Linked DNA regions of Drosophila melanogaster. The protein of the gene in region 2 purifies or fractionates together with the protein of the main gene of each other region. This does not show direct contact. Each region holds a gene or a part of one and is shown on either strand. Other genes may lie near its edges. The genes, in order: Sirt1 and Hnf4.

What was found.
Region 1: the proteins of Hnf4 (region 2) and Sirt1 purify together in Drosophila melanogaster (affinity purification with western blotting, with the first as the bait; one study listed by BioGRID). This does not show direct contact.

Annotation. Positions count from the first base shown.
Region 1 is NT_033779.5:13,163,544-13,167,465, reverse strand, and holds the start of Sirt1 (sirtuin 1), read right to left. Parts: upstream 1,903-3,922; 5' UTR 1,476-1,902; coding exon 266-1,475; intron 87-265; coding exon 1-86. Other genes in the region: DnaJ-H (DnaJ homolog), read left to right, coding at 2,573-2,641, 2,704-3,150, 3,263-3,916. UniProt on the Drosophila melanogaster protein: NAD-dependent histone deacetylase involved in heterochromatic silencing. Mildly suppresses the heterochromatin-mediated silencing phenomenon known as position-effect variegation (PEV). Required for epigenetic silencing of the polycomb group proteins.
Region 2 is NT_033779.5:8,689,064-8,692,985, reverse strand, and holds the start of Hnf4 (hepatocyte nuclear factor 4), read left to right. Parts: upstream 1-1,776; 5' UTR 1,777-1,791; coding exon 1,792-1,972; intron 1,973-2,733; coding exon 2,734-3,172; intron 3,173-3,360; coding exon 3,361-3,857; intron 3,858-3,922. UniProt on the Drosophila melanogaster protein: Transcriptionally controlled transcription factor. Important for the differentiation of various specialized cell types that arise from both endoderm and mesoderm. May have a role in early gut formation.

The DNA.
Region 1 (3,922 bases), 4.5 Mb from region 2:
GACCTTCAGCGAGGAGCCGATCACGATCAGTAGATCGCACACGTCCTTGTCGGTGGCCATGACCGTGTGGTACTCATCCGGCAGTCCTGTTGGCAATATGAAAAGCAAACACAATATGATATATGGTAAATAGCGTTACTTTGTATTTTCAATAGTTTATCTCTTAAATAAACACTTCTTTTGATCGTCGAATTTGAAATTCTTGCATTTATTTTACCAAGGCTATTGATAATATATAATAAATCTGTATAAAAATGGCACCTACCCTCGCCGAAAAAGACGATATCCGGCTTCATGATGCCGTTCTCGACCAGTTGGCGCAGCTCCTCCTCAGTAACGGCCACCGAGGCATCCACGCTCTGCTCCTTATTGGGCTGGCACTGCGGGCACACCGGAATTCGCTGGGCAAATATGTCCGCCCGCAGGGCGTCAGCGTTGCACTTGAAACGACACTTGGTGCACGAGGCCGTTGAAAAGGAGCCGTGACACTCGATTACTCGCTGAATGCCTGCCACCCGCTCGAGGGTGTCGATGTTCTGTGTGTAGTTGCGCAACAGTTTGCCCTTGGTCTCCAGCATTTTGATGAAACGATGGCAGGGTGAGGGCTGAAACTCGCCGGGATATATCTCGCGGGCAAACTTGTAGAACGGTCGTGGATCCCTCTTGAAGTAGTTGATATCAAACATGGCCTGCGGATCGGGCAGATCGGGAAAATCATGGGCCAATCGCGCATATATGCCATTGGTGGACCGGAAGTCCGGAATGCCGCAGGAGACGGATACTCCGGCTCCCGTTAGCACAATGATCTTCTGTGATTTCTTGACCAAACTGATGACATCGTCGAAGGTGTTCACTGAGGCCAGCTTGTTGCGCCGCTTCGGCTCGTTCAACAGGTGGGCCAAATAGTCCCACAGCACGGAGTCGTCGGTGTCGCCCGCCAGGCCGGTGGCGAAATGCGGCATAATGCTGGCAATAACCTGGCGCGGCACACGACCTGTGTAAAATTCTCGTTGCAACCAGCGCAGCTTCCAGTCGGGTTCCACGGATGAGGAGCAATTTGAGCTGGAGTCCTCATCCTCGTTGCTCGTTCCGGTGATTCCCTCCTCGTCGTCCTCCTCCTCCTCCTCATCGTCCTCTTCCTCCTCCTCCTCGTCATCTTCATCCTCGCCCATTGACTTTGTGGGATTTTTGGTTTTATGCTCCAAATTGGCGCCAATCTCTTGTTCTTCCCTGGCAGCCAATGTTTTTGTTTTGATTTCACCATTTGCTTTGCCAGCAAGTTCGCTTGTTGCTGGTTCTGTGGTTGTTGCTGTTGCTTCTGCCTCTGCCTCTGCCTCTGTTGACGTTGAGGCCAGAATTTCCGCGCCAAAATCAAACTTAGTTGGCGGATAGAATTGCGTAGTGTCTGGCACCTGGTTGCCCAGATCTTTAGACCTAATGTGGCCCAGGCGAATTTCCTCGTAATTTTCCATCATTTTTTCCGAACCCAAGCGCGCGCACACGCGCACACACACAGACTCACGGAGAGAAAACTCTCGTAGTTGGTGCTGTTGCTGGCTCTTCTTCTTCTTGCGCGAGTGTTTCCTCGGTCTCTCCGCTTTGCGCTCTCGCCTCGTCCGTTTTCTCCGCTCTTTCGTTGGTACACACAAAAATTTTTACGTCGTCAGCTTCGCACCCATTTGGCTTGATTGAAAAAATTCTCCAGCGATCGTTTGGCCGCGATTTTTTCAACCAACCCGACTTTATTTCACGTATATGCACGAAACTTAAATTTTAAAAAAATTTCGACACCATTTGGTTGCGATTTTTTCGTAATTTTCGAGCGTAGTTTCTGGAAAATTTTCCGATGAAAAAAGCAAGATGGCACACGTAGCTGCGCCTGTGTGTGTATGTGGGCTGGCAGACGTGATTCGGGTGGGACCCTGACACGTCGTGTGGAAAGTGCTAACGCGTTTCTGCATGGAAAGTGCCGCCAGCATGACTCATCACGGTATGTTTTTAGTATTTTTTGGGATTTTTGAGGGTGATTACGTGTTGCTACAGTGGCCACTGCCTTATGTCATATCTAATTTAATCCATTTCTTTAAAAACTGTTTAAAATATATCAATAATTTGTCAAAAAGTTAGTAAAATTAATTTTAAATTATGCTTCGAACTTTAATTTTAGCACTCTTTTACTTATCAAATTTACTCGATATTTAAACAATTAAGTAAAAATAATTTTTTTGTCCAATATTTACACATTTCATAGTAGTATTATAAATTGATGTATTGATAATATGCAGTTCATATGTCCAAAAACTTCCATCAAGCTGTTAAATACAAAAATGTGTAAACAGATTTCCAGAACGTTCCAGCAAGTGTCTACTGTTCCCCAAAAAAGCTGCGATTTTAAGTATTTATTTGGTACTTTCCCCAAAATTATAGGTTTTTGGTAGAACTTGGGCATACTTGTTAGCCAATATGACTTGAAAATATTGTCATAAATACATTGTTAAATAATTTAATAAGTCGTACACTTACAATGTACAAAATATTTTAGTTTGTAGGGGGACTGGGGATGCAATAGGAAATGGACAACCTAAATTTATACGACGTTCTTAAAGTGGCTCCGGATGCAACTGATGAGGAAATAAAAAAGGTATGTAACAGTTCCAATTCGATATGTTGGTAAATAGTTTGTATTCACCTTTTCACCAATAGAACTACCGAAAATTGGCAAAAGAGTTCCATCCAGACAAGAATCCCGATGCGGGCGACAAGTTTAAAGAAATATCCTTCGCCTACGAAGTGCTGTCCGATCCCGAGAAGCGGCGCATCTACGACCGATATGGATTGAAGGGCCTGCAAGAGGGCGCCGAGGGATTCTCTGATGCCTCCGAATTCTTCGCCCAGTGGTTCCCCTTCGATCGAGTCTCGTCCGAAGGTCGGGGCAGGCGCAATGGCAAAGTCGTGGTAAAAGTGGAGCTGACCCTGGAGGAGATCTACGTCGGCGGCATGAAGAAGAAGGTGGAGTACAATCGCCAGAAGCTGTGCTCCAAGTGTAACGGCGATGGCGGTCCCAAGGAAGCGCACGAGAGCTGCGAGACCTGCGGCGGAGCTGGACGAGCGGCCGCATTTACCTTCATGGGTCTCAGCCCCTTCGATACGGTATGTAAGAATTGATTGTAGTTGTAGTGAATGCACACCGCGGACCACACATCCGTGGAGATCCCATATACCACACTTCGGAGCAGATTATTTAAATTATTTTTTTTTGCAGACCTGTCCGACTTGCGATGGCAGGGGCTTCACCATAAGGGACGACAAGAAGTGCAGTCCCTGCCAGGGCAGTGGTTTCGTAGAGCAGAAGATGAAGCGGGACCTGGTTGTGGAGCGAGGAGCACCGCACATGCTAAAAGTTCCCTTCGCAAATGAGGGCCACCAAATGCGAGGCGGCGAATTTGGGGATCTGATTGTAGTCATCTCCCAGATGGAACATCCAATCTTTCAGCGCCGCCATGCCAATCTGTACATGCGAGACCTGGAGATCAACATCACGGAGGCCTTGTGCGGCTACTCGCATTGTTTCAAGCACTTGGATGGACGAAACGTCTGTCTGCGCACGTACCCTGGTGAAGTGTTGCAGCACAACCAGATCAAGATGGTGCGAGGCAGTGGTATGCCTGTTTTTAACAAGGCCACCGACAGTGGAGATCTCTACATGAAGTTTAAGGTTAAGTTTCCGGACAACGACTTTGCCACGGCACCGCAGTTGGCCATGCTGGAGGACTTACTCCCTCCCAGACAGCCGATAGTGATCCCAAAGAACGCCGAGGAAGTGCAAATGACGGACTATAAGCCGCAGCCACGACAGCAGGAAGACGAGGACGGACAGTCGTCTCACTTTGAGGGCGTACAGTGCCAGACGGCTTAGTGCATG
Region 2 (3,922 bases):
GAAATCCCTGTATGTATGTACATATGTATGTTATTGATTGCTGTTTTCGGCTCTTTCATTTTATCAGCGCATCATCCAAATAATACTATTTTCCGAATCAAGAATCCGATATTTTCTAATCTCAGATTACGATTTGCCCACCTCAGTGTGAGGCATCAAAATTTTTTTGCAATACTAACGATGACGCGGTCGGAAAAAAAGTGAACTCTAACGATGACTTGGCTAAAAATATAAAAATTACACCGCAGCCTGTTTCCCCCTCCCGCGGAGTGTGCGAGCGAAACGGCTGCGGTGGGCGAGAGAGATGGCGAGTGTGGGGCGAGACAGTTTTATGCGCGAAATGTTAGCAAACGAGTATTATGGTTTCTTATTTACCTTTTTTATTCGTTGCTGTTTCAGTGTATGTTTGCTTTTTCCTCTCCAACTGGTAGAACAACAACATTAAGTGTAAGAAAACAACAAATGCACACCCATAAACAGAGAGATAAGAACTTTTGGCAGTTGTATTTTTTACTTAAACTTCTCTTGGTCGAGCAACTGCTCTTATTTCGAGTTGGATTTTCAAGCGGTGAGGATATGTTTCAGGTGTATAATATCGGAATTGTCGGTGTACCGTGATTAACTGTCTGAGAATCTGTAAACAAAGTGAACAATTTGCTGTTTGGAGTGCAATCATGAAAAGTCTATTCAAATTGTAAATGTTTGCCAATCAATTACCTTTTAGAGAATTCCCTGCATATGAAAACTAATAAGGCAAATAGTGGAAAATCTGTGGGAACCACCCACTGCGAACGCTTCGAGATAATAACAGTATTTATACACCTATTAAAATGGTAATTGAAAGAATATTTTTTTAAATAATTATTTTAAATAATTCCATTCTATTCAATTTTCAAAAACAAGTATTCCTTAAAATCGACTGTACGAGCACTTTTATTGTTGTTTATTAAAAGTAACTACTATTTTCCGTCGATGCCTATTTTCCGCTTTACTAGTATTTCTATTTTCTCTCTTTCTCCGTCTCCCCAAATGATTTTCTCACACACGCAAACAGTCTCTCATAACGATGTCCAAATTAAAGCCGGCTTTTTTGTACACATTTTATTTATTTATTTGTTTATTCGTTTGGCCGATGTCGTTGTCGTTGATGTTGTTGTTGTTGCTTTTGCTCTTGCTTCTGCTTCTGTCCATTAAATGAATTTCTATCTCTGCGGCTGCGTGCCTCTGTGTTGGTGAGAGCCCCAAGTCTGGTTTTGGGGTCTCGCTCCCTCTCTGCGGGAAAGAAAGAGAGGGGTCGACATATGCAAACACAGTTGAATTGATTTAAGCGTCGATTAACGCACACACTCAAAACGCACGGTGGGAATTCGAGCTTTTTAAAACTAAATTTAGAAACTTCAGAACGCGTGGTGACGTGGTGATATATTGATATGATCGCACTTCAGAATACCTAACCAACTATGTTAGAATATAAAACTTCCAAAACAGAAATGTTAATAAGATTTAGAGGGGAAATTCATTATTTATTCGTTTATTAAAAAGTATTTTTTTGTAATAATATTATTTTCATATCCATGTCAAAAAGCTTACATAAAGCATTATGGAACATTATTAAACAGCTTTTATTTGTTTTCATAGAAAGAGAGTAATATTTATTAACGTAGAATTTTCTGAAATCAGACCACTGTGCGGTGGCGCAGAGAGAGCAGGAGAGGTGCCAAGAAACAACATACGATACCGCGACTGAAAAATTTCGAGTCGTGTGTTTTTTCATTAATCAGTTGCATTAAAATGGTGCGCAAGTCCGGTAGAGTTAAGATTTCTAGTCGCGATCGCGTTGCCGTTGGCAACATTCTGCTGCGTGGCAAAGTGGGCGGTGGGCGGGTGGCAGTTGCAGCGGCAGAGGAGGCAGAGGCGGGGCGACGTCGACGCAGGCGCGACAGCAGCGCCAGCCGAACTGCATCCAGTGACGGTCAGTTGTTGCTTTTATTTTTAATATTGTTGTTATTTGTGCAGTTTCTGTTTGTTGCTATTGCGCGATTTTTCGCTGGTTTTCACACAATCCCAACTCTATGACCACTGTGTATCGTACGTTATACAGCTGCGATCGAAATAAAAGAAAAACTAACAAAAATACCAGTAAATAATTTTTATTGGTACATATATACCTTTTTATGAAAAAATAGTAGTCTTAAAGGAACACATACACATTATTTAGTATCGACTTCATATTATATATGATAAAGAAAATTATTTCTCTATTAGACTCTGTGCAGAAATTTCGGACTGTGTATGTTTTTAATTGCTCTTTGATTGCAAAGATTGTCCGTGGATTTAAAATGGCATATCCAGTTGCTGCAAAACCTTAGCGAGGAATTTGCGTAGGCATGATCAAATTCTAAAACTGTGCGTGCGCCCAGCACCCGCAGCTTCAAAACTGTGGATCTCACCATGACGGAACACTTTTTACAACAAAGCGATTTACATTTGAAGATTAGAATATTTTCCATTTTAAAGAAGTAGAACTAGTTCGACTGGGCTGGTGGGGTTATGACTTTAAGAAGTATTTCAACAGTTTATATTGCTCACTTATTTACTGTACATATATTAAAGTTTAAGGCCGCCCTCGTAACATTTAAGACTGTGTCAGGAATATATGTACGTTTTTCTAATGAAGATTTTGTTCATACAACTCATCTTATGAATAACACTTTTACCTGCTTTTCGTTGCAGAATCGGAGAGCCACATAATGCACGCGGATGCCCTGGCCTCTGCCTATCCGGCTGCCTCGCAGCCCCACAGTCCGATCGGCCTCGCCCTCAGCCCCAATGGCGGTGGGCTGGGACTGAGCAACAGTAGCAACCAGAGCAGCGAGAACTTTGCGCTCTGCAACGGAAACGGAAATGCGGGCAGCGCAGGAGGCGGAAGTGCCAGCAGTGGCAGCAACAACAACAACAGCATGTTCTCACCCAACAACAACTTGAGCGGAAGCGGAAGTGGGACTAACAGCAGTCAGCAGCAATTGCAGCAGCAACAACAACAGCAATCACCGACGGTCTGCGCCATTTGTGGAGATCGGGCGACGGGCAAACATTATGGAGCCTCCAGCTGCGACGGCTGCAAAGGATTCTTCAGGAGGAGTGTCAGGAAAAATCATCAGTACACTTGCAGGTACACATATGTCCTTATACGGGACTAGTAGGGAGATTAAGATTTTCCCAATGCCAAATTTCCAGTCAGAAATAATTTGTATAATTCATAACGATAACCCTGGTGGGACGTGTCGGGACCTGGCGGAAAATTCTAAGTTTACGACTATCTATACGCATTCGTTACTCAACTTAAACTTCTCTTGGCAGATTTGCGCGAAACTGCGTTGTGGACAAGGACAAACGGAATCAGTGCCGCTACTGCCGGCTGAGGAAGTGCTTCAAGGCGGGCATGAAGAAGGAGGCGGTGCAAAACGAGCGGGATCGCATTAGCTGCCGCCGCACCTCCAATGACGACCCGGATCCGGGCAATGGGCTGTCTGTGATTTCCTTGGTTAAGGCGGAGAATGAGTCGCGTCAGTCGAAGGCAGGCGCTGCCATGGAGCCAAACATTAACGAGGACCTCTCCAACAAGCAGTTCGCGAGCATCAACGATGTCTGCGAGTCGATGAAGCAGCAGCTGCTGACCCTGGTGGAATGGGCTAAGCAGATTCCGGCCTTTAACGAGCTGCAGCTGGATGACCAGGTGGCACTGCTACGCGCCCATGCTGGCGAGCATTTGCTCCTCGGCCTGTCTCGTCGTTCGATGCACTTGAAGGATGTTCTCCTGCTGAGCAACAATTGTGTGATCACAAGGCACTGTCCAGGTAATGTTTTTGATACTATCAAAACCTATAAGTGAAATTGGTATAACCTTTGCAATCATTCTTTT